4 linked regions of the Stegostoma tigrinum genome follow. The protein of the gene in region 3 interacts with the protein of the main gene of each other region in a pairwise test. Links are inferred from orthologs where the notes say so. Each region holds a gene or a part of one and is shown on either strand. Other genes may lie near its edges. The genes, in order: esd, fmr1, fibronectin type III and SPRY domain-containing protein 2 and protein FAM107B-like.

Region 1 (7,450 bases), on a different chromosome or scaffold from region 3:
GGTTTGAAGTGGTATGCATAAAAATGTTTGTATGTGTGGGGAGCCCAGAACTAAGGGTGCCAATACCATACAGTCACTAATAAATCCAATAAAAATTCAGAAGAAACCTCTTAACCCAGAACATGATTTGAGTGTGCAACTTGCAACCTCATGGCATAATTGAGGCAAATATCATTACAGCATTTAAATGGAAGTGGAATTAGTACAAAGAGATAATTACAGCATTTGGCAGCAGGTTTAGATGAAACAGAATACAATTGACTTGTAGAGAGCATAAATACCTGTCACATGGTGCAGTATTAAACCGCAGGCCAGTTAGGTTAGCATGCCTGCTGCTGTGCTGTTAAATTCTACAGGATTCTGTATTAAAGTTACAATATTTCCACTGTTTATCTTAACCAGCATTGAGATTAAAAAGTTTTACACCTTAAATCACAAAGGAATTCCAGAAACAAAATACTGAATTGGAAAAGAAAGTTAGATGGTGAGGCTGATTATACTAACTCACCTGTCATGTTCATACACCTTCTGATATCCTTCAAAACACTTGGCACTTGAGATTTGAGTCAGGGCCATTTTTGTCACTACTGAAAGTTTTATTTTGAAAAAAAAGAAATATGATCATATGTTTGTATGAATATAAATACAGCTTACACAATGACAGTGTGGAAAGACCCAATAGGTATTATTTTCAGAGATAATGGGAACTGCAGATGCTGGAGAATCCAAGATAATAAAATGTGAGGCTGGATGAACACAGCAGGCCAAGCAGCATCTCAGGAGCACAAAAGCTGACGTTTCGGGCCTAGACCCTTCATCAGACCTGGATTAGGAGGGTTTTGAGATTACAATGTCGACTAATACTTGGATGCTGTACTGAGGGAGGTGCTGACTGATCTCAAATGGTAAACTGATGTTCAATGTGTGTACACTAATGGTTCAGATGGATGTTATGAATCTCAGGGCAATATCTGATGGCAATTCACAATGAGACAAAAGTCTTTCATAGACTCAGTAAGTGCCAATGCACTTCTGAAGTGTGGTAATTGCTGTAATTTTGGATTATTAATTAATACCAGCAGAACAGACTTATTGGTTAATCCTCATTGTTTGTGTACTTCCTTAAACCAAAGGGATTTAGGGGTTTGGGTACATAATTCTTTGAAGTTTGCATCACAGGTAGACAGGGTGGTTAAACAGGTATACAGCACGCTTCCCTTCACGGCTCAGTCCTCTGTGCAAAGGAGTTGGGATATTATGTTGAGACTGTACAGGACGTTGGTGGGGCCTTTTCTGGAGTACAGTATTCAGTCAGGTTGCTCAGTTATTGGAGGGATGTAATTAAACTAGAGGGTTCAGAAGAGGTTTACCAGGAAGTGCTGCCAGGTATGAAAGGTTTGATTTATAAAAGAAAGGGTGGATGGGCTGGGACTTCTTTCACTGCAGTGTAGGAGGTTGAGGGGTGACCTTATGGAGGTTTCTAAATACAGTTAAATGGTGGGTGTCTCTTCCCTAGGATTTCAAGACTGGGGACATATTTTTAAAAGTGAGAGGACAGATATCTTAAAAAAGCCATAAGGGGCAAATTTTCATTAGAGGGTAGTTCGCGTGGGGAATGAACCTCCTGAGAAAGTAGTGGATGTGGGCATAGTTACAATGTTTAGTTGACACTTAGATAACACACAAATAGGAAATGTTTGGAGGGATATGACCCCAGAGCAGACAGGTAGGATTAGGTTAGTTTGGGATTATGTTCAGCATGGACTGGTTGGAGCGAAGAGTCTGTTTCTGTGCTATATGACTGTTTCGGGTTAGAGTTAGTGTTCAGACTGGAAGATAAATGCTTGTCATTTTCCACAGTTCTAGAAAACAAAAGTCACTATTTGGACTTGGGCACTAGAACAGAATCACAAATATGTGCTGATGGCACAGATGTAGGGGCTCTGGCAAATAATGAGGGGCACAGAGGAGTTTCACCACGATGTTACCTGGGATGGAGCAGTTTAGCAATGGAGACAATCCGGAGAAGAACAGATTGTTTTCTTTCAAGCAGAGAAGGCTGAGAGGGTACATAATAGATGTATATAAGATTATGAGAGGCGGGATCAGAGTGGATAGAAAGCAGCTATTCCCTGAAAGGGTCTATAACAAGGGGGCATAATTTTAAGGGGATAGGCAGTTTAGAGGCAATTTGAAGAAATTCTTTTTCACCCGGAGGATGGTGGGAACCTAGAATGCACTGGCTGGAAGTGTAGTTGAGGCAGGAAATCTAAAAACTTTTAAAAAAAATACTTAGATGTGCACCCGAAATGTCATAACATTCAAGGCTGTGAGTCTCGTAGAAGGCGGGACTAGTCTCAATTTTCGAGTACTTGTTTGCTCATGGGCCAAAAGGACCTCTTCTATATAGTATGGGTTTGACTGTAAATCAAATCCAAGTTTCTTTTTCAAACAGAAGTCAACACAATCCTATGCCTTTCCCGTGTGTATAAAGTCCTACATTTGATTATCGATTTACTTGAAAAGAGCTGTGAACACATACCCGGAACTCGAAACCACTCACTTTATTGAGTGAGCTTGCTGTGTGCAGATTAGCTGCTAACTTTCAACACAAACAGCCAGCACCCTTCAAAAAGTGCTTCACTGGTTGTCTTTTGTTTGCTGGGCCCTGGTTGTAGAATGTGCAATGTAAATACGAACATTCCTGATTCATCTCGCTCCATCCCGGGGAGGGGAAGAGGGCGGTCTCCGTTTCCTTACCGCCTAGGCTCAGGCCTGAGCCTCAGAGTCTCGGTCACTGAATCCTGAAGCAGTTCCCGTTGCATTTTCAACCGGCGGCAGAGGCTCTCGATCCGGCCCGGGCCTTCCCCGCGCGACCCCCGCCCCTTCTCCTTCCCCGCGCGACCCCCGCCCCTTCTCCTTCCCCGCGCGACCCCCGCCCTCGCGTGCTGCCGTTGCCTGTCACGTACCTCTGACCGCGCTAACGACCCGGGCTCGAGCGTCTGAGACGGCGACTCTCGTCCCTACAGCCAGGCACATAAAATGCAGGCACTAAGCTCCGGGGAAGCGGAGAAGTGATGTGGTGTTTCTGAGGGGAAGGAGTTGGTGGTAACTCCGCCTGGACAGGAACGAGGTGTGGGGGTGAGTTAGGGTTAAAGTTGGTATAGTTTGTGCACTTTAATCATCGTCTCTAATCTCACCACGTCAAAGCCAAGTTATTCAGTTTGGTGATAACTGTGTTATTAACTAGAAACCGTGTTTTTCAAACATATATTTCAAATTTCAGAATCACAAATCATTGAGCCTAAGGGTCAGTAAACCCATTAATAAACTGACCCGAAACATCAGCAACAAGCCCCAAACTCAGCAGCATTGATCATTAAAAGTATACCAATACGATGATGGCCCCCTCTTAACGCTCAGTGAAAAACCTAATATGAAAACTACGGCAATTACAAATTATTTGACTACGTTACGCTTAAAGAAAAGACCAGCTGCCTTAATCCAGGTTTTTAAATAAACCAGGGTCATTTGATAAGACCTCTGTGTATTTATAGAAAAGCGATAGTTCGCTTGACATGACATCTGTAATATATTCACTTTAAGTTAATTTCCGGGCTGTATATTATTGTGGAAAAGAGCAATACGATTGAAAGAGATTTTGCATCTCTCATGTATCCAAGGATGCAAAATTGTATCCCAGAAAGAAAAGACTGTAAACTTGCAAATCGACACTGATCTGACTTTTGTCCGTCAAATCCTCGTTCTGTGGGAGGAATGGGAACAGACTTCCAGCAGAATACAAAAAACCATGGACATTTCACCAGTGTAAACTCTACTCTGTACTGCAAAGGACCATATAATCTGACTGAATGGATCAATGAAAAAAGATAAAATGGTATATTTTATCCACTTTGCTAATACTTGGGTTCTGAATCTGCAGATAACAAGGAGTGACAGTACTTCAAAATGGATCTCCAGTATCAATAATATGTTCATCTTCAAATAGTACTTTTTTGGTTTACATGGATTTTAGTCTGAGATAGGACAGACATGCCTTTTGCTTCAATGCACAACTGACCAGAAACTAAAAGGAAAAAACATTGACAATTTAATGTATGCAATTTTCAATTCTCATAAATGCATTCAAGTTTGTGTCATCTGGGATAGAAAGTGGAAAGCAACAGTGAACAAATGTTTTCTGTGGAGAGAAATAAGAGAGAATTTTGTGAGCATTCACCAGGAGACTGGCCTAATTCAAAACAGAGAATGATCAGTGTGTTCATTTACAGTTATTTTTATAAATGTTTTCTGGGTGATTTAAGAAGGCATTTAAGAGTGAAGCGTATCACTTGAGACCAGAAGTTGAATTTAGCGTGGATAGGTAGGAACAAAAAACTGCTTCCTTGAAGGACATTAGAAATATACTCTCATTGAACTTTTGAGAAGGTTGTCACATTTTCAAGTTTGACAGGTGGGGCAGAAATATAACAGTACCTGTTCTTAGCTTTATATTAATCTAGCAACGAGCTATAATTTCAAGAAAATAAGTGAAAACATATGTCTACATATATATCAGAGATAATGGAAACTGCAGATGCTGGAGAATCCAAGATAACACAGTGTGGAGCTGGATGAACACAGCAGGCCAAGCAGCATCTCAGAAGCACAAAAGCTGACGTTTTGGGCCTAGACCCTTCATCAGAGACACCCTTCCGCAACACATCCCTCACACCCCGCCCCCACCACAACCGACCAAAGAGGATCCCCCTTGTTCTCGCACACCACCCCACCAACCTCCGGATACAATGCATCACCCTCAGACGCTTCCGCCATCTACAATCCGACCCCACCACCCAAGACATTTTTCCATCCCCACCCTTGTCTGCCTTCTGGAGAGACCACTCTCTCCGTGACTCCCTTGTTCGCTCCACACTGCCCTCCAACCCCACCACACCCGGCACCTTCCCCTGCAACCGCAGGAAGTGCTACACTTGCCCCCACACCTCCTCCCTCACCCCATCCCAGGCCCCAAGAAGACTTTCCATATTAAGCAGAGGTTCACCTGCACATCCACCAATGTGGTATACTGTACCCATTGTACCCGGTGTGGCTACCTCTACATTGGGGAAACCAAGCGGAGGCTTGGGGACCGCATTGCAGAACACCTCCGCTCGGTTCGCAGTAAACAACTGCACCTCCCAGTCGCAAACCATTTTAACTCCCCCACCCATTCTTCAGATGACATGTCCATCATGGGCCTCCTGCAGTGCCACAAGGATGCCACCCAAAAGTTGCAGGAACAGCAACTCATATTCCGCTTGGGAACCCTGCAGCCCAATGGTATCAATGCGGACTTCACCAGCTTCAAAATCTCCCCTTCCCCCACCGCATCCCACAACCAGCCCAGTTCGTCCCCTCCCCCCACGGCATCACACAACCAGCCCAGCTCATCCCCTCCCCCCAGTGCATCCCGAAACCAGCCCAGCCTGTCTCTGCCTCCCTAACCTGTTCTTCCTCTCACCCATCCCTTCCTCCCATCTCAAGCCGCACGTCCATTTCCTACCTACTAACCTCATCCCACCTCCTTGACCTGTCCGTCTTCCCTGGACTGACCTATCCCCTCCCTACCTCCCACCTATACTCTCCTCTCCACCTATCTTCTTTTTTCTCCATCTTCGGCCCGCCTCCCCCTCTCTCCCTATTTATTCCAGAACCCTCTCCCCATCCCTCTCTGTGATGAAGGGTCTAGGCCCGAAACGTCAGCTTTTGTGCTCCTGAGATGCCGCTTGGCCAGCTGTGTTCATCCAGGTCCACACTTTGTTATCTTGTCTACATATATACTTATTTTGAGAAAAATAACCAGTTAATTAGAACACAACAAAGCTAGCACAGATAAAGCATTGGCCTGCATAACATGGAAAGTATTAGGTGGTTCTAGAAGTCTGGATGATCACGTCTACAGGTACTGCCATCAGTTTCATCTGCTTAAGTATTGGGTTTCAGAGCTTGAGCACTGGCTGGAGGCACTACAGTGAATCTATGAGGCTGAGAGTTACTTGGAGAGCACATTTTTAGATGTGGTCACTTCATAGTTTAAAGAAGTGCAGTCAGAGGAGGCTTGGGTGACTGCCAGTCAGAAGAAGAAAACCAGGCAGGTAAGCCCCAGTCAGCATCTTACTTGAGAAATTTATTTTTGTCTTGGAAATAGTAGGAGCGACAGTTCCTCTAGTCAGTGCAGCCAGAGCCCAGCTGCCCAAGGGTGGAGTGAAGCGAGGAAGAACAATACTGGTAGGCAACTCAATATGAGAGGTACAGGCATTTTTGCAGCTAAGGACGTGACCCTATCATGGTTTGTATTCTGCAGTGGGAGGAATAATCCAGTTCGGATGATCGAGGTATCTTTTACTGGGCTCCTTTGTTCTAGCGCTTGTAAGGAAGCCAAAGGCCGTAGCAACAAATCTTACCTCATTCCCGGAATAACAATTGTGCTATGATAAATTATACAGTCCACATTTACCATCAATCATATAAGAGGTTACAGAAACATTTAACAGTATGAATGATACAATATCCTCTTTTGGTCTGAGTCTGTCTGCTCCAGTTCTTGGCTGCTTGCAAAGTCTGTTGGCCAAAGTTCAACCACTCCTTTAGCTCACCTGGACATAATTTTGCTATATTAAGCCTTTCAGTGTGTTTCGTCCCTAGAGTCAGGATCAAGGATGTCACTGAATGGCTGCCAGACATTTTGAAGGGGAAGGGAAAGCTGTCAGAGATCATGGTTCACATAGGTACCAATGACATAGTGAGAAAGAAGGATGAGGTCCTGAATCAAGGTTTTAGGGAGCTGGGTAGCAGATTGTAAAGCAGGACTTAGAACAGTACAACAGGAATGGAACTTTCAGCCCACCGTGCCTGTACTGGCCATGATGCCATTCTAAACTAATCCCATCTGCCTTCATGTGATCTATATCCCAATATTCTCTGCCTGTTCATGTTTGTCTAAATGCTTCTTAAATTTTGCTGTCATTGCTGCTTTCACCACCTTCCTTGGCTCAATATTCTAGGCATCTACCACCTTCTATTTATAATGCCTTGCCTCGCACACCTCCTTTAAAATTTCCCCCTCTCACCTTAAACCAATGCCCCCTAGTATTTGAAATTTCCACCCTGGGGAAAAAAAGACCCCGACTATTCATCCAATCCATGATTGTCATAATTATATGTACTTTTATCAGGCTCCCCCACTCAGTCTCCGATGCTTTAGCAAAAACTATCCAAGCTTATCTAACCTCTCCTTACAGCTAATACGCTCCAACCCAGGCAACATCCTGCTAAACCTCCACATCCTCTTCAAGGTTTACATACCCTTCCTATATTGTGGTGACCAGAACTGCATGCAAGACTCCAAATTTGGCCTAACTGAAATCTTGTACCGCTGCAATATGAC
Region 2 (7,803 bases), on a different chromosome or scaffold from region 3:
TAGATTATGTCAACGTGGTTTTACAAAAGGAAAACCACATTTGACAAGCTATTTGGAATAAATAGAGGAAACAGTAGATGTAATATATTTGGATTTGCAAAAGGCACTTGCTAAGGTCCTACACAAAATGCCAACGCACAAGATACATGCATATGATATATACACATTAATTTACTAGAACAGATAGAGTTGTTGCTCAAGGACAGAAAATAGAGTAGAGATAAATCGAGTATTTTCAAACTGTCAGTGTAGTGATTCAGAATTAGTTCTGAGACCTCAACTATTTATAATTTATTTTAATGTCTTGGACAAAGATTGAATAATACCAAATAACAAGGTGTGGAGCTGGATGAACACAGCAGGCCAAGCAACATCATAGGAGCAGGAAAGCTGATGTTTCGGGTGGCCCGAAATGTCAGCTTTCCTGCTCCTGTGATGCTGCTTGGCCTGCTGTGTTCATCCAGCTCTACAGCTTGTTATTTCAGATTTTCCAGCATCTGCAGCTCCTACTATCTCTTGAATAATGCCATCTAGATTTTCTAATGATACAAGGCTAGATGGAATCATAGTTTATAGGAAGGGCACAAAGGCTACAGATATAATGGACAATAAGGTGAAAGATGGGAGTATAGTGTAAAGAAATGAGGTTATTTCCTTTTGACAGAAGAAACAAAAAAGTTGAATATTTGTTAGTTCGGCACAAAACGTTTACATTTGATATTTAGAGACTTGGCTCCCTCATAAGCGCAGAGAAAACCAATGCAAGTACAGCAAGCAATTAGAAACACAAACAACATGTTTCTCTTTAGTATAAAGAGTTTGGAGTTACAAGAATAAGAAAATTCCTATTACAATTTTATAGGACTTTGGGAAAATAACACTAGAAATACTGTAAGTTTTGGTTTTAATATTTCAGGATGTACTTGTGCTGGAGGTTGTACAGTGAAGATTTATTAGAAAGGTCACTAGTACGAGATGACCATTGCGATAGGAAACCATTGAACAAACTAGACAGATTTAGAAGAGAAATATACATGGCCTGAAGTGGCTGGCAAAGGTAGACACATTACTTTTGCTGACTAAGAAATCGAGAACGTGGGGGCACATATAGGTTAAAGGGTGATTATTCTGGTTTAAGACAAGGGAAAACTCAACATTCTAATGGGTTGTGAAACTTAAACTTTCTACCCGATAGGATTGAGGGTGCTCCATTGATGAATATGTTTAAGGCTGGAATGTGAGTATCCCAAAATTGTTAACTCAGAGCTACTTCTTTAATGAAATAAATTCTGAATAAACTTGAACTCCACATCTCTCCTTTCAGGTACAGAATAGATAAAAGCGCAAATATTTGCCTAATATTAGCATACTATTCTGTTGCTAACTGTAAAGTTTACTTCATTGGTTATGGTATTAACTAAATTACTTTTATGGCATTTCAAATTCATACAAAACATAAGCGTGTAAGCATTTCCACACAGAGCATCCTGAAATGCAAGTTTCTTTTAGCTTTAATAAGGCCATTGACAGGATGTCTCTCAGCATTTCACAGCCAAGGAATTACTTACGAAAATTAGCAACGGCTGTCTTGTAGCCAAGCACAGCTGCCAATTTACACACAGCTAAGTCTCCATAGACAACATGAGACAAGTATCTAGTTAACTATTTTGCACATAATCAGCAAAAATTGAACACTGATCATGGTCCCAGAATGTAAAGCACTTCAATGGTTTATGCAAACTTGAACAAAAAGTATCGACTTAAATCACAACTTCGCTGAAGGGCAAGTTTAAACTATCATGGTATTGGGCTTGATTCAGAAGAACTTAAAAGCCATCAGAAATACTAAAGCTAAGCAGGTTTTAAAATCCATTGAAAACTAATTAGTTTGCATTCCTGCACCTACAATATCATTGCTTTGTCACTTCCAAGTGAACATAACAACAGAAACAGAATAATTATAAATCATAAAATATTAACCACTTTTCTCCTCACAGATGCTGCCTGAGTACTTTGAACATTTTATAGCTATGGGATATTATCAAAGAATAGGTCATAGCCAGGAAGATTTAGGAATCCAAAGGTGGTTCTTATTGTTCAAACCACTCACAACTGCACTACATTAAAGATGTCTTTTCATTTCACAATTCTGGGATGTCTGGTCAACCCAGATAAGTTTTACTGAAGGGTCTGTTTCTGTGCTGTATGACTATTAGGTATTAGGTAATTGCAGATTTTTTAAAAAAACAATTTACTGAATCAATTCATCACCCCTCAAAAAAAAAGCTAGAAATGGAATCTATCACCTTAGCAACATATCCACATTTGTGGTAGTAAAAGCACTACAAGCTGATGTGATGTAACCAATTAACAAAACATAAAATACACTTTCTATACAATCGTACAGTATAAATTACTAAAGAAAACATTAAACTATATTAATATTATAAAAGGTGAACACCAATATTTGCAGAAAGGTGAAGATTTCACTTGATTATCAACAACCATGAAACTGTGACTTGGGACAGTCCAAACACAGTGGCTCAATCCATGGATGAAGTGCACGCCCACATATGCATCCTATTAAAAAAACTCAAACACAAAGCAGCTCACAGCAGACTTGTGTGAAGATGAACATTCCCCAAATACAAAAGAGAAAAGAGATGCGGGCAAGGGCCTTCTTTTATTTCCAAATCGTCAAGCCTGAAGGTAAAGGCTCAGACCAAACAGAGGCAGACACTCACGTCTCCAGATTGGATTGAGGGGGCCTCTTCACCATTGTAGTCAGGACAATAACAAAAGCAGCAGCTTAGGCTATAACCGAGGAGGAGCAGCAGAGAGAAAGAGAGACACGCCCACCCAAAGAGAGGGAAAGCAAAGCCTGGGGGGACTCATGAGGTAAAAGCCATCAGACAGAGATAATCATCAAATGGGATAGAGACAGCAGGCAGTCACACAGAAATAAGAGCTTCTCATCAGCGTGAAACAGACAACGTGGGAAGCAAAGACAGGGAACTGTTTTGATAGATGAGGAAATGAATCAACAGCCAACCACCTCCTCGTTTCCACCCACCCCCCCTCCCCGTACCTTATAAAAGGCTCCATTAGAGCCGCGCACCTCCACCATTAAATCCTCCATCTTGGCTTGCCCGCGGTGCACTATGGGACCGAGTCTGTGGTGGGGTGGGGGGGGGGGAGGGGGAAAGGGACGGCGGAGGCCGCGCGCTTCGTGCACGCTGGAACGAGGAGAGTTCCCACGCGCCCGGGAAGCCACGGGCGTGCACGGCGAAGTGCTTCGGTGGGTGAACGGAATCCGCGCGTGCGCGGGGAAGCGTATGTGCGCGGGAGCCGCGCGTGCATGGGAAATGGGCTGGGCCGGGGGTGGGGAGCGGTTGGGGGAAGTGTCTGCGCGTGCACGTGAACGAGGGAATACGCGCGCAGCCTCCATAGGCATCGCGCGTGCACGAGAAAAAGGGAAATCCGCTTCCCACCCCCCCCGCCCCGGAGGCGGCGCTCTTCAACTCTCCAAGAGAGGAGTTGGGGGGAGGGTCCGCGGGTTCCTCGGCGCCAAGGCGATTTCTTTTTTTTGCACAAATTATTTTCTTTTAAATGTACATTTCCTCTTTTCCCCCCTCGCGTGAAGAGTGGGGACTAACGCTTCATCACAAGGTGCGCATGTTTATTAAACCAAAACAAATTGTGCGCTCGGATTGAGGGGCGGGGAAAGAGGGTGATTGACAGAAAAATGAAGCAACCGCGACCCGCGGATCGGGGGTGGATCGGCCGGGGATTGGTGGGGAGGACACTGTAATTGATGGACGTGTGTGAACCAGTCGGCTCTTGGAGACGGGGCAATCGGCGCACGTTTGGTGGGTGGTATCCCCATGGAAACGTTTGACGTGAAATTTGTCCAGTCCGTGCCTTCAAATTGGCGAGTGTTGAGTCACGTGAGGCTAAACCGAGGACTGTCTGGCGGCTGGCGAAGGAAGCCGCGGGACTAGGGGGGCGGTGCCCTGGAAACTTGATATGGTTATCGACCAATCGTTCCAGGGCAACGGCCCAATCAGTATACGATAGTGGGACGGTAAGGTAATTGACTGGAAGATAATCCAATCGCCGTCGAGAACGCGTGCAGTCGTGGAGGGCGGGATATTAAGGAAAGGATTGACAGGAATTTGAGCCATTCGTTGCTCGGCAGGTGGCCAATCAGCCCTGGTTTATAGGGCGGGATCTTGCTGTAGGGCAGTCGTGGCCATGGTCATGTTATTGGGGCCTTCACGGCGGAAGGACTTGGGTTTGTTATGGCCGAGGTTCCCAGGCATGACATATGCAGGAAAAGTTTATGCGAACCATCACCGAGGATGCTGGAGAAATGCAGCAGGTCTGGCTGCAGCTGGTGGGTGGGAAGGAACCTAGAGTTTGCATGTTGTAATTAGTGTAACTCCTACAGAAATGAAGTCTGTTAGGAAAACTGTTTTTTTTGCTCTCTCGGAGATCAAGTGGCGTAAGAGGGCAGGTGTAACATGGGCGGAATGGACTTGATGGGCCGAAAGGCCTCATCTGTACTGTATAATTCTCTTAAATTGCGCAGGCTAAGGTCAAAAATCACACGACACCAGGTCCAACCGGTTTATTTGAAAACACCAGCTTTTGGAGTCTCGTTCCTTCGGGCGTAAGACTCGGAAAGTTAGTGATTTCAAATAAATCTTTTGGACTATAATCCAGTGTCATGTGATTTTTTATTTTTTAACCTTGCCTACCTCAGTCCAACGCCAGCGCCTTCATTACAGACCCAAGTGCCCTGTCGAAGATAAAAGGTGATGTTAATTATGGCGAAATAATAGACTTGGGGGATGTAAGGGTGTGAAAGTCAAAAGTAAATGAGGCACAAACAAGACAAAGCTGCGGTTTGGCTGGAGGAGCGGTGTGGGCTAGTATGTAATGAAAATGGAGAACAAACCTCATGGTTAGGGATATACAAGGTCCAGAGCTGTATGATTCATCCTGCTTCTTTGCTGCCTAACCCTGCCGTGTTCCTTCAGCTCCTCACTGTATCGATAGTGATCAGTTTTAGTGGTGGGAGTGACTCCTTCCTGGAGTGTGGACAGTGTTGAGTTTCTTTGCCGAAATGGTGGTCCCAAGACATGAGTGGCAACAATGTAAGCCAGAACAGGTGCCCTGTTCGGGATCCGGCGCTTCAGTCGATCGTGCGTTGCTGAAATTTGCCCAGCATTGACTCGTGGTGATCTTGGTGGAGAGAAGATGATGACACAGTTCCAGGCTGTTGCTGGGCCTGGATTCCTGATGGAAGTGGTGATGTTCTAGCTACAGCAGGAGTGTTCACAGACTGAGTGATGGACTGTGTTTCTTTGTTTTGCTGTCAGTGAGGCAGGGAGTAATCTAGATGGATCCTTTTCTTTTATCTGTTCCTTTTACTTCCACTTCTCTTTTTAATCTTGTCTTTTATAAATTAAGATTGTATCGGAGAATAGTGACTTTGTACACTTTTCACTGTAGCCCTGTACTTGAGTACGAGACAATAAAATCTAAATTTACATTCGGAAGTTTCTGGATTCAGTTTTGACACCTCCAAGGCAATAGTGCCTGAGTGAAAATTTGGAGGTGTTGGTCCTTGACTTTGTGTTGTTCTCCGAGGCTTTGGAGTAGATTCTGCCTAGTGTTGTTTTTGGACCATTGTGACAGGCCCAGATTAGAAACGTCTACTTGAGCAAAGTGGTTTTTTGAAATGGCAAACAAGTTGAGGTAATTCCTAAGGTCTGAGGAGTTCTGCAACTTCATCCCCCAGTCTGTATTTGGCTTTGCTCATGTTGCAATCTCCTTATTACATGAGCAACAATTGCAGTAGTTGAGATTGAGGGGCTGCTTCAACTGGAAGGTCCATATGTGGCCTTGGAGGAGATGAATGGGCAAGTGTTTTATGCTCTGTGATTGCAAGGGGAAGTCCTATGGTGGAAGTGTTAAGAGTGATGCAGGAGTGAGAGGTTTCTGAAGAAAAGTCATACCATATGTGAACTGTGCTCTCGCTCTCTCTTTCGCACCAATGATCAGCTAACTGACTGAGAGTTTCTTGACTTGTACCTTCCTCCCCCCTTTTAAACAGGACTGTGACGTTGGTCATGTTCCATTCATTTGGAACCTTCCCTGACTCTGGTAATTTCTGAAAGATCACCAGCAACGCAGCCATAATTTTCACAGCTATCTCCTCCAGTACTTTGGGGTGTAGTCCATCTGGTCTCGCTGACTTATCCTCCTTTAGGTTCTTGTTTGGCTTCCCCAGCACTTTCTCCTTTGTAGTGGCCACTACACTCATGTCTACCCACTGACTCTGTTGAAGCTCTGGTATGCTATTAGCATCTTCTACTGTGAAAACTGATGCAAAGTACGTATTCAGATTATCTGTCACTTCTTTCTCTCCATTGTTACTTCTCCAGCTTTATTTTCCAGTACTCCAATATCCAGCTTTGCCTTTTTTGTCTAAGGTATGTACACCTGCATGGTAAAGTCTCCATGATAATTGTAATAGTGCCTTTCTAACAAGCCCTTTCTATCTCCTGATTTATTTTATTTTCCCTTGTCCTGACTATAGCCCGAAAGCCTGTACGTAACTCTTATTAAGGTTTATTCCTTTTGTGGTTCCTCAACTCTACCCACACAGATCCTCTGACTGTATATCACTTTATGCTATCAGTTTAGAGTCGAGTCACGCAGCATGGAAGCAGACCCTTCAGTCCAACCAGCCCATGCTGACCCTGTCCCCAAACTAAACTAGTCCCTCATGCCTGTGCTTGGTCTGTACCCCACAAACCTTTCCTAGTCATGAACTTCTCCAAATGTTTTTTAAATGTTGTAACAGTACATGCATCTACAATGTTCTCTGGCTGTTTGTCCCATGCATGACAACGTGTTTTGTAAACGAGTGTTGCCCCTCATGTTCTTTTTAAGGTGAGAGGAGAAAGAGATCTTTAAAAAATGCTCCCTAGTTTTCAACGCCCTCCTGCCCCCAACCACCCCCCCCCCCAAATCTCTTAAGGAAAAGATCCTTGTTATTGACCTTATCTATCCTGCTTGTGATTTTACAAACATTTTTACAAGGCCATCTCTCCACCTCCTACACTCCAGTGGAAATCAAAATTCCTGGCCTTACCAGCCTATTTCTGTGTCTCAAACCCTACATTCTTGGTAACACTGTAGTAAATTAACAAGACAACCCTGCTCCCTGTGCCCATCTGCCTGCCCTTTTCAATAGGAAATGTATTCTGAGATATTTAATTCCCAGCCTGATATCTGCAATATGATATCTGCCAATTGCAAGCTATACTAAATCTCATTTACCTTGTTTCATGTACTTGTGTACATTTAAGTATAACACACTCAGTCCTGTGTTGACTGCCCACTCTTCGTATAGTTGTCCTCTTATCAGATGTTAAATTCCTGAGCCTTTCCATATCTGGAAATTTTAAGACCTTCTCCTGAGCTCCCTTCATGCTCCTTAACATTTTTCTACAACGTTTCATGCAGCTGAACTACCCCCATCTCCGGTTTAAAGTCCTATCCACAGCCCTAGTTCTGTTTTACCAGGATTCTGGTGCAGCCCACTTCATCAGAACAGCTTCCTCCTTCCCTAGTCCTGGTGCTAATGTTCCATGAATTTGAATCAGTTTCTCCTACAGCAATCTTAGATTCCCATCTCTGTAAAGGTTGCTATTGCCTGAGCCTTTTTAAATGTTTTTGTCTACTGTTGAGCAAATCTATCTTTAAAGTTTGTAGTAAAGGTATGCACAG
Region 3 (7,718 bases):
CCCATCAATGTAATTTATCTTACTCAGGTGGAGCACCTCACACTGTGCTTTGAGTTTCAATTAAAATGACCCAATGATTACACACACCTCCATTGCGTCGCTTATCTGCAACATGATCGGAATTGCACCTAAATACCTCCAGGACCAACTCAGTGGGATCCTCCATTGGCCTGACTCTGACAGGGTTTACCAACAGGCCCCTCTAAAGCCAAACCCCATCACTGTTCCTGATCCCATTACCCCCTCCCCCAACGCTGCACCGAATTTACAATCTTAGGCAGGTGCTGCCCGCTGTACCTATATTCCCATCGATCAGCACCACCCCCACAGTTCTGCCCCCTCACATCCTCCATCCTGCCCCCTCACCGCCTCAGTCCTGCCCCCACTCTCGCTCAGTCCTATCCCCACTCCCCATCAGTCCAGCCGCCACTCCCCCTCAGTCCTGCCTCCTCACCCCCTCAGTCCTGCCCCCACTCCCCCTCAGTCTTATCCCCACTCCCCATCAGTCCAGCCCCCACTCCCCCTCAGTCCAGCCCCCTCACCCCCTCTATCCTGCCCCCACTCCCCCTCAGTCCTGCCTCCTCACCCCCTCAGTCCTGCCTCCTCACCCCCTCAGTCCTGCCCCCACTCCCCCTCAGTCTTATCCCCACACCCCCTCAGTCCTGCCCCCTCACCCCCTCTATCCTGCCCCCACACCCCCTCAGTCCTATCCACACTCCACCTCAGGTTTGCCCCCACTCCCCCTCAGTCCTGCCCCAACTCTCCCTCAGTACTGCCCCACCCCCCTCAGTCCTGCCCCCACTCTCCCTCAGTCCTGCCCCCACCCCCCTCAGTCCTGCCCCCACTCCCCCTCAGTCTTATCCCCACTCCCCCTCAGTCCAGCCCCCTCACCCCCTCTATCCTGCCCCCACTCCCCCTCAGTCCTGCCTCCTCACCCCCTCAGTCCTGCCTCCTCACCCCCTCAGTCCTGCCCCCACTCCCCCTCAGTCTTATCCCCACACCCCCTTAGTCCTGCCCCCTCACCCCCTCTATCCTGCCCCCCACTCCCCCTCAGTCCTATCCACACTCCACCTCAGGTTTGCCCCCACTCCCCCTCAGTCCTGCCCCCACTCCCCCTCAGTACTGCCCCACCCCCCTCAGTCCTGCCCCCACTCCCCCTCAGTCCTATCCCCACTCCCCCTCAGTCCAGCCCCACTCCCCCTCAGTCCAGCCCCACTCCCCCTCAGTCCTGCGCCCTCATCCCCTCAGTCCTGCCCCCACTCCCCTTCAGTCTTGCCCCCACTCCCTCTCAGTCCAGCCCCACTCCCCCTCAGTCCTGCCCCCACTCCCCTTCAGTCCTGCCCCCACTCCCCCTCAGTCCTATCCCCACTCCCCTCAGTCCTGCCCCCACTCCCCCTCAGTCCAGCCCCACTCCCCCTCAGTCCAGCCACACTCCCCCTCAGTCCTATCCCCACTCCCCCACAGTCCTGCCCCCACTCCCCCTCAGTCCTATCCCCACTCTCCCTCAGTACTATCCCCACTCTCCCTCAGTCCTGCCCCCACTCCCCCTCAGTCCTATCCCCACTCTCCCTCAGTCCTGCCCCCACTCCCACTCAAGCCAGCCCCCAATCTCCCTCAGTCCTGCCCCCACTCTCCCTCAGTCCTATCCCCACTCCCCCACAGTCCTGCCCCCACTCCCCCTCAGTCCTATCCCCACTCTCCCTCAGTACTATCCCCACTCTCCCTCAGTCCTGCCCCCACTCTCCCTCAGTCCTATCCACACTCCCCCTCAATCCTGCCCCCAATCTCCCTCAGTCCTGCCCCCACTCCCACTCAAGCCAGCCCCCAATCTCCCTCAGTCCTGCCCCCACTCTCCCTCAGTCCTATCCCCACTCCCCACAGTCCTGCCCCCACTCCCCCTCAGTCCTATCCCCACTCTCCCTCAGTACTATCCCCACTCTCCCTCAGTCCTATCCCCACTCCCCACAGTCCTGCCCCCACTCCCCCTCAGTCCTATCCCCACTCCCCCACAGTCCTGCCCCCACTCCCCCTCAGTCCTATCCCCACTCCCCCTCAGTCCTATCCCCACTCTCCCTCAGTCCTGCCCCCACTCCCACTCAAGCCAGCCCCCTCTTCCTGAGCTGTTCCCCTTCGTCGAGATGTCTGACCGCCCGATCTTCCGCTCCAGTCATTTGCCGCAAGTTCCCGCAAGTTTTAGGGCTTTTGGACCAGACTCTGTACCCAGTGCCACATTGTGAGCCAGGTCCTGTACCCAGTGCCACATTGTGAGCCCGATCCCGTACCCAGTGCCACATTGTGAGCCGGGTCCTGTACCCAATGCCACATTGTGAGCCCGGCGCTGTACCCAGTGTCACATTGTGAGCCGGACCCTGTACCCAGTGCCACATTGTGAGCCAGGTCCTGTACCCAGTGCCACATTGTGAGCTGGGCCCTGTACCCAATGCCACATTGTGAGCCAGATCCTGTACCCAGTGCCACATTGTGAGCCGGGCCCTGTACCCAGTGCCACATTGTGAGCCGAGCCCTGTACCCAGTGCCACATTGTGAGCCCGATCCCGTACCCAGTGCCACATTGTGAGCCGGGTCCCGTACCCAGTGCCACATTGTGAGCCCGATCCCGTACCCAGTGCCACATTGTGAGCCGGGTCCTGTACCCAGTGCCACATTGTGAGCCGGGTCCTGTACCCAGTGCCACACTGTGAGCCGGGTCCTGTACCCAGTGCCACATTGTGAGCCGGGTCCTGTACCCAGTGCCACATTGTGAGTCGGGTCCTGTACCCAGTGCCACATTATGAGCTGGCCTTTGAGCTCCTCCACTTCAATCATTGCTGAGACTTACGGAGAGACACAGCGAACAGCAAGAACCTTCTGGAACATGGAGCATACCGTCAAGGAAAGAAAATCTCGGAATACGCACTGATCTGCAAAGTCTAAAAATAAGTGGGATGTGAGATCCTCAAATATTGCGGGACATAGTTTAGATTCCGTTAGTGTTCAGCTGGCAGGAGCTGGCCTGAAATGCAGCTCCGTCAGTGATTCAAATCCTCTCGGATTCACACAAACCCGCATTTATCAGTATTCCCGCCTGGCCACGAAATTCATATCGTTCACTTTCTCCCCCAGTATCTCCCCCGGGGCCGGGCCTGGGGTATTTTTAGACAGCGGTTGGTGACACTACCTCACTGCAAGTGACATTCAGCAAAGTTCATGGCCGATCAGAGATTGCAAACACCCAAAGAGACGGGAGAGGGAATCGGCTGAAGTCACTAGTTATAGACAGAACAAAGCAGTGTTTAACTGAATGTCCCGGTTAGTCAGCTTCAGAAAGGTGGCTCAGAGCATCCTTCCACCCATCCTCACTCACAAGCAGGATCGGCTGATTGGACTCTTTCTGTGCCACAAACTTTCTGTGATCAACCTGGCCTGGCGAGCTGAGCCTCTCCCGTGTGAATGTTGAAGTACCGAGAGAAAAGAGACCGATGGGAAACCATTTGTGGCTGTTGTCAGAACTGTGAATGTGCTATCTGAAGATACTGCTGCCATGAGATGGGGACCAGAGTCGGCTGTGCTCAGTCTACTTCAGTACTGAAGAAGTCACTGGAGTCGAAACGTTAACTCTGTTTCTCTCTCCCCCGATGCTGCCAGACCTGCTGAGTTTCTCCAGCATTTTCTGTGTTTAAGATTTCCAGCATCCGCAGTATTTTGCTTCATCAGGGAAACATCTTCCATGCACCTACTCCGTTTTGTAAGCTTTAGTGAGACAGCTTCCATTATTCGGAACGCTACAGAAAGAGGAGTGTGGTGTGAAGGAAAGGGAGACGGGATACACTCTGCCTTCTGCAATGTATAACTGAACACCTCCCTCCCAAAGACCTCCTCCCCCCATTTTACTCAACAACTTCCACAGCCCAGACTCAGAGCCTGGGATTATACAAAGTCTAAAGCGGTAAAACAAGGTCACATAAAGAAAAGCTCTTGAGAAAATGTGGATAAATTCTGCGAGGATACAGCCATAAGGAACAACAGGATGTGGAGACAGGAACACAGCATCAGAGGAGCAGGAAGGCTAACGTTTCGGGTCTGAAGAAGGACGTGGTGATGCTTATCTTTCCAACAGAAGAGAGCTGACAGGGATTGTTAAACTCAATGACGGATGGAGTAAGATGGAGGTGTTTCCATTCACTGAAGAATCCGAAACTGGGAGCCTCGTGGTGTGCCACAAGGTTGTGTCTGTTTGCTGTGTACGATAGTGATCTAGGCATCAACGATGAAGGGGTGAGGCCTGGGGCCAGGGTTCGGCTCACGGAGGGACATGGGAGAAGTCAAGGGAAGAGGGCGTGGCTCGGAGCGGTATCAGGATCAGGGGGCGGGGCTGAAATCGGGACGAGCCTGGCGACGTGGGCGGGGTTAGAACACGGGGGCGGTGCAAAGGGCGGGGTTAGAACACGGGGGCGGTGCAAAGGGCGGGGTTAGAACACGGGGGCGGTGCACGAACGGTGTCATGCGCAGTGGGAGGTGGCCCCGGTAACTAGGCCTCAAGCCTGGCGCTGATGGAGTCCGAGCAGCCGGACAGCCTGGAGGGCTGGGTGGCCATTAGGCCTGATGTGTTCTCCGAGACAGAGAAGAGCTGCTTGCGGTTCCTGGTGGCCTGGAATGAGGTGGAGGGGAAGTTCGCCGTCACCTGCCATAGCCGTGGGCAGCGGCGGAAGGCGGGAGGCGAGCCCGGGGCTCAGGGCAGCTGGGCCGCGCTGTACCGCCCGGAGGAGCTGCGCTGGATCCACCGGCAGTTGGCGACAAGCTGCTCGGCCCTGTGGCCGTGTTTCCCGGTGCTGCCCGAGCTGAGGGGCCCCGGGCTCTGGGGCCTCCTGTTCCCGGGCCGGTCCTTGGCCGAGGGCCCGGAGTCCGGCGCCGCTCTGGAAGCCTCCTGCCGCCAGCTGGAGAGGTACTTGGACGCTGCGGCCGAGCTGTGCGGCCGCCGCATCCTCCTGGAGTCGGTATTCCCCTCGGACTCCGACGGCGAATATTTCGAGAATCTGACCGAGTTCCGGAGGAGAAGCCTCGAGCAGCGAGTGGCCCGTGGCCGGGAAAGCCTGCGGGAGGTACGGCCAGGGCCTGGGGGGTGGTAGGTCAGCGGGAGGGCAACAGCTCGAAGGGCAGAGTGGCCGCCCGCTCTGATGGCTCCTGTTCGGGTTTGGATTCATGTTACACGATGTTTCCATTAAATCAACTCTGATCAGAGGCTGTTGATAGATCCCAGCCCTGCTCTCAGCCTCCCCAGTGGATTGCTCACCTCCTTCACATTCCTATAACTCACACAATAGTATTGTACTCCCCTCCTGGGTCTACTGTCTTTAAATGTAGTTATATAGGTACTGTTCTACATTAAATACAGCCAGTACAGGTATATTCACAGATTGCATCTGTGGTGTAGATTATTTTGCGCAATGTTAAGAGTGCCTGTGGAATTCCAGATTTTTGCCATGATAGAAAACATCTTCCCTTTGTTCAAATACTGTCTGGGTCCTTGTGGTTGGTTGGCTCGCTGAGCTGGTTCGTTGTTCCACAGGCATTTCATTACCCTGCTGGGTAACATCATCAGTGCAGCCTCTTGCCTGGGTCCGTTGAGAGAAATGGGTTACAATTGTTTGTGTGTCCGGTCTTGAAGGAGAGGCCCCGTTGGCATTCTACAGGTGTTTGCAGCTGCTTGTTTGAGGCTGGAAGAGCCTGGATGCTGATTGGCTTCCTGTGTGTGCCTCCAAGATATGGAGGGTATTCATTCCAAAGGCCAACTCTGGTCCTCTGTGGAACTATTGGGATTTAGATTTGGCCACATGGGATGTGTGTCTTATTAAAATTGATGTGATTATCTTGTTCTTATGTGAAGTGTTGCAACTGCTATATAAATGCAGACTTTTGGGAAGAAACAAAATACAGGTGGGGAGCATGCTCTTGGCACCAGCCACTCCTGGCAATGGAAATAATAAAACAAAATCTGACTAAGTAGATTATGTTCTGGGATGTTTCAGAGGAAGATTATAAAACATCTAGAACTAGTTCTTCCCCTCCTCCATACACTTGGGACAATAACAGAACAATCAAAGTATTGATAACATGCTCTTAACACTTTCACTTTCAATCTGAGTACCAGTGGAGTTTCACAACTCTCTTGTTGCATTAAGAGTGTGAATCTCTTGCTTCCTAAATCATCATCCAGTAATGCACTGAACCCTCAAAGAATCTACCCTGCACTCACCAGTTAACTGCTGCTTCAGTATTCCCAGCTGAGTGAGACTTTTCACAGTCTTTCTGCTGTTTTGGCCCTATCTTGGGTAGCACCAAGCTGACCATTGTACACCTCTGAAACATCAGTACAGTCATTCTGTGTCAACTCCTCTGTTGCTGTGACCCTCTTTCAGACTCAGCTGTTCAACTTGACTTCTGGCCATCCTCAAGCTCAGCCAAAACTTTGCTGCTGGTATCTGTGAGCAACCGATTCCATGATCACCCTGTGCTCACTGAATTGCATGGATTCTTTCAATTATTTTACCTTTTAAAATTCCCATCTCTATTTTCATATCCCACCATGGCCTTGTCCCTCCCTATCTCTGTAAACCTCCTCCAGTCCCCCAATCTGGCAGATTTCAGTCTGCCTGCAGCTTATGCACAGCCCTGATTTCCTTTGCTTCTGTATTGCTGACTGTTTGTTTCAGCCTGGGTCCTGAGTTTTGGAATTCACATGCACAGGTCTGCACATGCTTTCTCCTCCTTTTACATTGCTGCTTGAAACCTAACCTCTCTGAAAGTCACTTCGCATCAGTATTGATTGTTTTGTCAGATTCCACCTCTTGAAATGTGTGGCGATATTTGCATTTTTTTTAGCATCCTTACTTTAGGGAAATTGGGATAAACAAAATGATTGTCATCCTCTTATGCAATGTCATTATCACTTTTCTTGCTGGTAGTGATTTGTTGTGGTGCTGCTGTTTCCTGAAATCGTAACGTGGAAAAACCCTTATTCAGTCCTCTGGGGTGTGGTCAGAAATATCCAAACCTGATTCAAAGACACAGTGTGAGTGCTAATCCCTGGGCAGTTCTGACTGGGACTGGTTCCAGCAGAGGGAGAATGAACCTTTTCCTGAAGACCTTTATTGTTTGTCAGCAATGCATACAACACTGTAAGAAACTATCTGTCATCATGCAGGGTCCTTTCCTCCTCCTTCATCACCGTTCCTGCCCTAGATAATAAGGCTAGTTTTATCTGTCAGCATTGGGTGAAGATTAGTATTTTTGTTTAATAATGAGCTACTAAAATGTCAGCACCAAACGTGAACCACTTATGACTAACGAAGCTTGATGTATTGCACTCAACCATTTAACCTCCGCCTCCACCAGCCCCTGTTAATGAAGACTCTTCCCAAGCCTGTGACAACCCACGAGGTGCTGACTCTGTTTCTGTTATTCAGAGATACACAGAAGATGGGATCAAGTGGAGGCCATTTGACCCTCCAAGCCTGACCTGCCATTTAATATGATCAGGGCCGATCATCCCACTCTTTTCGATTTTGTCCCCAAATCCTTTCATTCCTTTAGCCCTAAGAGCTGTATTGTCTCCTTGTTGAAAATATTCAGCTGCTTTCTGTGGTAGAGAATTCCACAGGCTCTCTGCTCTGGGTGAAGAAATTTCTCTTCATTCGAGTCTTAAATGGTCTGCCCCATAT
Region 4 (8,382 bases), on a different chromosome or scaffold from region 3:
CCCCTGAAGACATTACTTACTCACGGGGTACAGATTCACATGCATGAACCACTCTAGTACTTTGCCCAGTCATCTACCCTTTGACAGTGTATGTTCTAGGGTATTGATCCCGTGTTCAGTCAACATCTGAACTTCAGAAAGGATTGATAGTTAATTCTGCTCAACCTATGGGCAGCTATACCATCCTAACACTGGCCTAAAGGGCAGCAACCAACTTAACAGAATCTCTTGCCCTTTTTGTCAACAACTCACTGTCTTACAATCACATTATTGTGGGAGGATCTACTGTAGCAAGATCTATGCCAGTAAGATTAGAATTGCTAGTACAGGTCCAATGTTAGATTATTAATATTCTAACTCAGGCTTTTCTATAGCCACAATCTTTCCTGCGGGTAAGATTTTCCCAATCTGTTTCATTGGACAAAACCAGGCAATAAGGGAAAGTGTGAGGAAACAAATAGATCAGAAAAGAATTAACGCTTTTATTGAATAACATAAATAAACCTATGCTTCATATCTGTTAATCATTTAAATTTAACATACTTAAAGCAATTCAATCCCACAGCCCATTTCTCTATTTTCAGACAACAATCAGTTTGTTTCAGTTCTTCTTAGCAGTTGGTACTTAACTCAATATAGGCAATTATCCACAGCCAGCACACAAAATATTAGTAGTTTAGTATATTTTATGTGCTGCTAAGCGTTCTGACCCCTCTTTCATTATGTAAAATGTTAAATCAAGATGACGAACAAAGGACTGTTTACCTTTTTACCATGAGCTGCTCCCATGTTGATGGTTTTGCTCACTCCTCTTTAGGTTCTGCTGCAGTTTCCCCTGAACAATATCCTTTTCTGTCTGGGCTCCCCGTGCTGTTCTCTTTCTGCAAGAGGAGCTGCTTGCACAATGTGCGAGGAGGCACAGACTGCAGCAGGCAGGCAGGAGATGTGAAAACACGCAGCTCTGGCACCTTGACAACTCTTCCACAGAACCAAGGCTTTACTAATTCAGCAAAATGGCAAAGACCTGGGACGGAGAAGCCAAAAAACAAGTATTTAAGAGTCTCACTAATTTATAAAATAAATTAACAAAGCAAAACACTGCAATTACAACACTGATTGACACAAGTATTTCTCTCTTCAGTCCACAGCAAGCTGTGGTATGTGCCCTGTGAAGCTTTAGTACTGAATAAAGATTACATTAATTGCTCATGACACCATGTGATGATGCACAGAGCACATGGATGGCTTTACATAGAATGTGACAGGCCTACAATGCCTCGTTATTACACAAAGAAGATGTTCCTGCTGGATGGGCCTGGGTCTTCTGACATTTACATCTGGAGCTCTTCCAAGCAGCAATGCCATCCATTTTAGTATTTTGCACTGATTCACGTACCCTGCTAAATTCTGTTGAACATCCGCTAGTGCTGTGTAATAGCCAGACAGTTTATGAACTCTAGCTCAAAATCGTTTTAATCTCCAGTTGACCATCAGTTGAGTTACAATACAGTCACATGAATGAATTGCAATGTTGCCATTTCATTGCTTAAAACAGGCTTTTTGTTAAATGGGTTTGAGTTTGTGAGCTACAAAATTGAAGGTATGCTAATTGATGGATGTAAGAATTACATTAATATAGACATTGTTACACATCTTAACTATCGGTATGGAGACTCAAATGAAGTAGAAAACCTTGCAAAAAAACGTTAGTTTTCTTTTCTCAAAACCAACAGCTTAATATTTTACTTCAGATCTTGTTAACCAGCAATTTATTTTTCTGTATGTCCAATGGGATTAAGTCAACTCTCTTTTGCATTAATGTTCATATCATTGCTTCCTTTGGACATAAACTGTTCAAAACTAGCTACAATTAGAATTTATTACCAGCAACTTCCAATATTAATTAGACATCTTTTCATGAGCAAAGTAATGTAGTTTTTGGTGATTGCGTTCTTGCAAACGGTGTACAAGATAATGAGAGGCATGGATAGAGTCGATAGCCAGAGACTTTTCCCCAGGGACAGTATTGACTGCCAAGAGGTGTCATAGTTTTAAGGTGTTAGGAGGAAGGTATAGAGGAGATGTCAGAGGGAGGTTCTTCACCCAGACAGTTGTGAGCGCATGGAATACTTTGCCAGTGGTAGTCGTGGAAGTGGAGTCATTAGTGACATTTAAGCAACTGCTGGGCATGCACACGGACAGCAGTGAATTGAGGGTTAGGTTGTAGGTTAGGTTATTTTAGTTTTGGATTAGGATTATTTCACAGCACAACATTGTGGGCTGAAGGGCCTGTACTGTGCTGTACTTTTCTATGTTCTAAAACCAATTTTTATAAAGTAGATGTATGACTTCCGCTAAGTTTTCTCTCTATCTGATATTCTGAACAAAGGTAAGCCAGAAGGGATGAATGATGTAAGCTTTTCTCAAACATCATGCTCCCCTCCACCCCAAATATCCTGACCCTGAGACTCATCATCATTGGGCAAATCAAAGTTTCATTTTATTTATTTGTTACAACCTGACAATTATTTGGATTTTGTATGAAAATTCAGCGTGTCTTTTGGAATTGCACTGATCCAGTTAGAGCGTAACAATGTGTGTGGTCTATAAGTCAGTGTCATTTTCAACTCTGATGTTCAAGCATTGATCTGGGAAAATGGATTGTCTGCCCATTGTAGAGCCCATCAATGAGATGGCACTCACACAGTTTCTACAATGGATGGGCAACCTTCCCCAAGAGGTAGAGATTAAACTTAACCTCTTAGAGTTACGGGTGTTGTGATTTATATTGCAAGGTGGCACAGTGGCTCAGTGATTAGCACTGCTGCCTTACAGCGCTGGGGACCCAGGTTCAATTCCATCCCTCGTGACTGTCTGTGTGGATTTTTCACATTCTCCCCATGTCCCTTGGGTTTCCCCCAAATGTTCCAGTTTCCTCCCACAGTCCAAAGATATGCATGTAATGTGTACTGACCATACTAAATTGCCATTGTGGCCAGGGATGTGTAGGCTAGGTGTATTTGCCATGTCAAATGCAGGGTTACAGAGATGGGGTGGATCTGGGTGGGATGCTCATTGGAGGGTTGGCGTGGACTTGATGGGCCAAATGGCTGTTTCCACACTGTGGTAATTCTAGGATTCTAAAGGAATCTGAGCTGAGAGTCTGAGATAATCGGAACTAGAGGAAGGTGTTGGCTCACCCATATTCCAGCCAAAGATCCAATCCACGTTCACTTCAGGTGTTGCACTTGCCAGGATCTTAGATTCACAGAAGGGTGCTATTTGAGCCATCATGTCTGCACTGGTCTTTCAAAGGAGACTAGTCCCAACGTGTTCAGTCTATCCTCAAAACTGAATTTTTTTTCTTTGTGAAACCATTCTCGTAAATCGTGGCTCTGCATATAGGAGAGTGTAACTTGTCAAGTGATCTTAGACGAAATGAAAACATCTGAAGACCATAATTACTTCTAAAGAAAAAGATCATTTAGCAATCTTTGCTGCAGAAAGAGCAAGATACTTGAGAATATTTTCCTGAACATTTTTTCATGTGGAGACCCCAAACTGTAAACTATAACGTTGCATTTTGCTTTGATTTAGTCTGACAACCAAAATATTCCCTTTGGGTGTTAACATCAGAGAATGAAAATCCAGCACTGTTTCCTTCCACTTGTCCAGAGCTAATATGTTAGAACTCTCTGAGCATAAGTGGTAACAGAAAAGCCTTTGATTGTGATGTTTGACCAGAAACCTGTAGTGTACAGTGAATGTAATGTTCTAAACAAAGCCAATCATACAATCGATTGCCTGAGGGTCTTGTAGTGTCCCTGCATCTGGGTCAAAAGGCAAATGTCCCACCTGTTCTGGAGGCACATCACACCACATCTCAGTAGTTTGCTTTGTATAGCTATAATCAATTACTTTTGTAAGACACTAATTAAAACGGCTCGTTTGAACTCTGTATAATTAATTTGCAAAACCATAGGTCAGGGAGAAACTTGGAGTAATAATAATTCCTAAAATGTTTAGTTTGTAATTCCTATTGACCATGCTGTGTGTGGCATTGGTAAATCTCTCAGAGCAGGTCATCCATCCATTTGTATCTGTGTTTCGGGCAGTCTAGGAAGAGGCAGGAGACTGGCTCCAAGTTAAAATGTTCATGCAGACACGATGGGCTGAAAATCCTCCTTCTGTGCTTGAACAATTCCGTGATTTTGTGACAGTAAGTGGAACGAGGTGGGGAGACTACTTCCCAGACTGATCATAGCTCAAACTATTTTTCTAAACAAGCTATTCAGAGATGTTATTACACACTTGGAGCAGCAAAGAGGAATGGCCCAACTGAGACCAATAAGTAGCTAATTTATGATCACCTGCGGGCTTAATCAGCCTGTGCCAGGACTAATCCAGGCTGGAGGCAAGCCTTTTGCTAAGCATTGTGCATGACAGCTAAAACTGTGTGGCTGGCTTGCCAGCCAATAAGAGGAGGTCCCTCAATCAAAGGAACTGAGGCCCTGACAGAAAGCTACCCCTTGCCTTTGCTGCCGATTCCTCTACCAATGACCTCCACTCCACGAAACCCCTCCTGACATTACCAATCTCTGTGGTAGGGTTAGGGTTAGGTTTAGGTTTAGGGTTACCCCATCGCAAGGTTACTTCACAATCCTGGGGCTCAGGTGAAGGTTTCTCCTGAAACAGCCACGGTCTTCCCTGCAGCGTTGCTGGGCACAAGAGTCACTGTCTCCTGAGTGACTGGCATCTCTTGGTAGGTCAGATTTCTGCCCTGGGGTCCTGATTTCAGGTGAAGGCTTGCTGGTGGCCTCACTGCTGCCTGTTTGGTTTATGGTTTGGTAGGTCTCCCTGGGAAAGGTTGTTGCTGGCCCTCCAAACAGCAGGCAAGATCTGGCTGACGGAAACCCTGCTGGTAACTCTTTATGTGGAAAATAAAATGACGAATATTAAACAATGTTTGTATAATGCAAGTGGCTATATTATTGAATGGATTCCCTGTTCTCGTCAGGATATCAGCACATTAATTTACATACGCATGGTTGTCAGGTAAAAATGGCTTGAAACAAAATTGACATGCTCATTAAATTTGCAACCTTTAAAAAACTGGTTTAGTGCTATCAATCTCATCAAAACATAGCATTCCTGTTTTTTAACCTGCAGAGGAGGTTTCCAGTTTTTTCATCATGTAGTCCTTGGTAATGAAAGTGTGGGAGTTAAGTGCTGGTGATTCATTTCTGATGTGACCAAATGAAAGTAATGGCATAGTATATTTCCTGATAAAATATTGTAATATACTGCACAAGGGCAAATGCGAAACTGGTGAAAGCAGAGTCAAAAAGTAAGCATTCATTGAGAAGCAACTGCAAAATATATTCCCAACTTCCAAGGTTCATTTTAAAAGTCAGTGATTCCAAAATTATTGACTTTGATGAGTTGAGGTTCAACTTTGTCAAAAAGCTGAAACAATGTATTGAAACAAACTGTTTGGAAGAATCTTTTATCAATTCTGTTCTCCTCGTGCCTTGGGGACAGTGACCACCCTTGATTATCATTGTGTTGTTTCTGTCGCTGTGATATAAGCAAGCTGAGTTTAGTATTTTCTTGCAGAGTATTGTAATGGTTCTTCTACAAGATTTTAAATAGCTTTGGAAATTCTTTTTGAAATTCCCTTTTTCATTCATTCTAAAATATAGTATTCACTATTTGTAGGAGACTTAGTTGAATACATTCAGTTCTGGTTAAAAATGAGAGTCTGATTTCTCAGTATGTATAATACTTTACTGGCATTCCATGAGCTGTGGCCAAGTCTCAAGGTAATTTGCCAAGACATTTGAAGTGCTGTGATTTCTGGACCCTGGGCCTACATGTTTATTGACCTGACTCTTACAGACTTCAACCACAGGTAGCTGATGTCAGTATTGCGACAGCTACTTTTATGTTGAGTTTAAATTCTGTTTCAAAGCCTTGTACTTTCACACCGATGGTCCAGAATCTATTTTATTCCGTCTGAGTGTCAGTAGAACCACTGTCTTCACTTTTTGTTCCGGAGCTTTAACTTTAGGAACATTTTTCCTTGTTGCATGATTTCCACCTCTCTGGAAATTTTCCATTTTGCGGGATATTTCTTTATTTGTGAGGTAATTAAGGTGTTGTTAACTTGCAATATTTTCTGAAGAGCCCTGATTGGCCACACTTATAGCAGTTTTTAGTTCTTGCTGCTGGACATTCATTATGTTGTGATTCTCTTTTATGCTACAACCTAATCTAGTTGATGATTTTGATTCCAATTCTCCCAGCACTTTGCAAGGCTTTTGGGAAGGTGATGATGGCATCTTGGGACCTACCCATTTGACCAGGTCAAAAGAACTTCCCCTCCATCATAATGTCAGAAGTGGGATGAAAGTCAACTTTTTGCAGCATTTCAACAGGAAGATCTGGTTGTATTGTTGTGCAAGGTATTGATTTTGAAGGAGTTAATGTTTCCGTGACATTGAACTCCATCCCTTCTGAGACTGTCACACACAGGCTGGTGTGTTAAACGGTAAGTGCTACAGTAGCCTATGGAGGGTATAGCTCTCAAGAATCCTAGTAATTAGTCTTCTGGAAGGACTCTATGGTGGCCCATCCTCTTCCACTAATCATTAGGCTGGTTCTGGACAAAGTACAGATCAAAAAAAGGATTGCTAACAACAAACTACCCCTCAGCCAATCCTTGCTTGGAACCTTATTCTCACAGAGGTGACAGATACCATGAGGTGCTAATAGTGTCAATCAGTGTAATGCCACAGCTATTTCAATAGTGGCACTTTCTATCCATTGTTTACGTTAATTTATCATAATTTATACTCACAAATGGTGTCATTTTCTTGTCAAGCCAGGTACGTTACAAATTCAATGACAGGAAATCATGTCTATGTCATAAACTATTAATTTTGAAATCACTATAATTAACCGACCAGCGAGGTCCAAGGAGGTTTACAAATAAAACATTTATAGCTTGAAGCCCTCAGATTGAAAACTCTTATTTCCAATGACAGCTGGATATCAACAATTAAGTCACCATTTTTCACTGAGAGTGTAAACGTAATGATAAACCTAGCCATTTGTGTTGAGGTGGGAATGAAGACCCTACTATTACTATGATTAAAATTAAAGTATGTGATTATCTTGAAATAAATGATATGATTATACTCGATCTTTTTTTCCCAAGTTTTAGCATTCACAGCCTGTATAAGCATATCACTCATTGCTACAAAGAGCAAGGAGATAAACAACAGACAAGGTGTTTGAATTACCAAGGAAACTAGCAGATCCAAGGCTGAAGGGTGAGAATAACAATGGTCTGCATGAAGTCGAGAATTATAACTGTGTGCTGCAAACTCAGTATTTTTGACAAATGCTTTGGGTAATCAATAAGAGCTTATCCCTTATTTATGATCAAATAATATACTTGGGGCTTGTTTGAACCACATAGACTTCGGAGTGGTTATTTTTCACTCTCCTATCAACCTGCGAGTCTACTTTCAAGGGATTATGAACCTGCACTCCAAGTTGTCTTTGTTCAACAACACTTCCCAGGACCTTATCATTAAGGTGTATAAGTCTTGCCCTGATTTGTCTTTCCAAAATGCAGCACCTCACATTTATCCATATTAAACTCCTATTGCCACTCATTAGAACAATTTTGTCTGTTTTAACATACAGTATAAATCATTATGACAATCATTTCATTACATCCTGGATACTGACATCACCCACAAACTAACCAACTAACTCCCCTGCAATAGAATAGTAGATATCAGATGCTATTTTACAATGAGGTAACATACCCTTCCTTCCTTTACAACTGAACAGGGTCACTTTTGAATAATGGCATTGAATAATGAGATTGGTAGACCAAATACTCCAATAAATTCAGCTGATGCCAGGGCTCTTGTGGTGTAGTGGTAATGTTCCTACTTGTGAGCCAGAAGGTTGAAGTTCAAGACCCACTTGCTCCAGTGGTGGGATATTCCACATCTAACGAGGTAGATTACAAAGAAAGCTGTCGCTAATGCAATTCCAAGCATCCGTTGTTTCAGGTGATTGGCTGAATTCACAACACGAATCAGAGTCAGCACATCTCAATTGCAAATTTAGGTTTGGACTGGTTTGAGTCTTGCCATGCTGCCATCTCAGGATGTATGCCTGTGAATGCAATCTTCCTGACTAACATTAACTTTCTGCTGGCCAGGTTATCTGAATCTGGTAAACTTTAGTCTGATCTGCTGCATTGCGTTGCTTATTTAGAGCGTCACAATATGCCAGCGTGACATTGATGAGACGACTGTTCAAAGCTACCAGCACTTCAAGTGCAGAGATCAAATAACACTC

The links.
Region 1: the proteins of fibronectin type III and SPRY domain-containing protein 2 (region 3) and esd interact in binary tests that used the Homo sapiens proteins (3 or more experiments, as listed by UniProt). The two-hybrid records come from large-scale screens. The link is inferred for Stegostoma tigrinum from reciprocal best matches to the Homo sapiens genes FSD2 and ESD.
Region 2: the proteins of fibronectin type III and SPRY domain-containing protein 2 (region 3) and fmr1 interact in binary tests that used the Homo sapiens proteins (3 or more experiments, as listed by UniProt). The link is inferred for Stegostoma tigrinum from reciprocal best matches to the Homo sapiens genes FSD2 and FMR1.
Region 4: the proteins of fibronectin type III and SPRY domain-containing protein 2 (region 3) and protein FAM107B-like interact in binary tests that used the Homo sapiens proteins (3 or more experiments, as listed by UniProt). The two-hybrid records come from large-scale screens. The link is inferred for Stegostoma tigrinum from reciprocal best matches to the Homo sapiens genes FSD2 and FAM107A.

Annotation. Positions count from the first base shown.
Region 1 is NC_081365.1:73,601,554-73,609,003, reverse strand, and holds the start of esd (S-formylglutathione hydrolase), read right to left. Parts: upstream 3,114-7,450; 5' UTR 3,040-3,113; coding exon 2,970-3,039; intron 2,887-2,969; exon of another isoform or gene 2,761-2,886; intron 2,712-2,760; exon of another isoform or gene 2,543-2,711; intron 588-2,542; coding exon 509-587; intron 1-508.
Region 2 is NC_081368.1:9,511,304-9,519,106, reverse strand, and holds the start of fmr1 (synaptic functional regulator FMR1), read right to left. Parts: upstream 3,181-7,803; 5' UTR 3,140-3,180; coding exon 3,089-3,139; intron 2,788-3,088; exon of another isoform or gene 2,745-2,787; intron 1-2,744.
Region 3 is NC_081386.1:35,973,194-35,980,911, reverse strand, and holds the start of fibronectin type III and SPRY domain-containing protein 2, read right to left. Parts: upstream 3,062-7,718; 5' UTR 2,840-3,061; intron 1-2,839. Other genes in the region: WASP homolog-associated protein with actin, membranes and microtubules, read left to right, coding at 4,551-5,099.
Region 4 is NC_081364.1:52,121,308-52,129,689, reverse strand, and holds the start of protein FAM107B-like, read right to left. Parts: upstream 3,243-8,382; 5' UTR 3,201-3,242; intron 1,045-3,200; exon of another isoform or gene 1,025-1,044; 5' UTR 790-1,024; coding exon 766-789; intron 1-765. UniProt on the Homo sapiens protein: Stress-inducible actin-binding protein that plays a role in synaptic and cognitive functions by modulating actin filamentous (F-actin) dynamics. Mediates polymerization of globular actin to F-actin. Also binds to, stabilizes and bundles F-actin.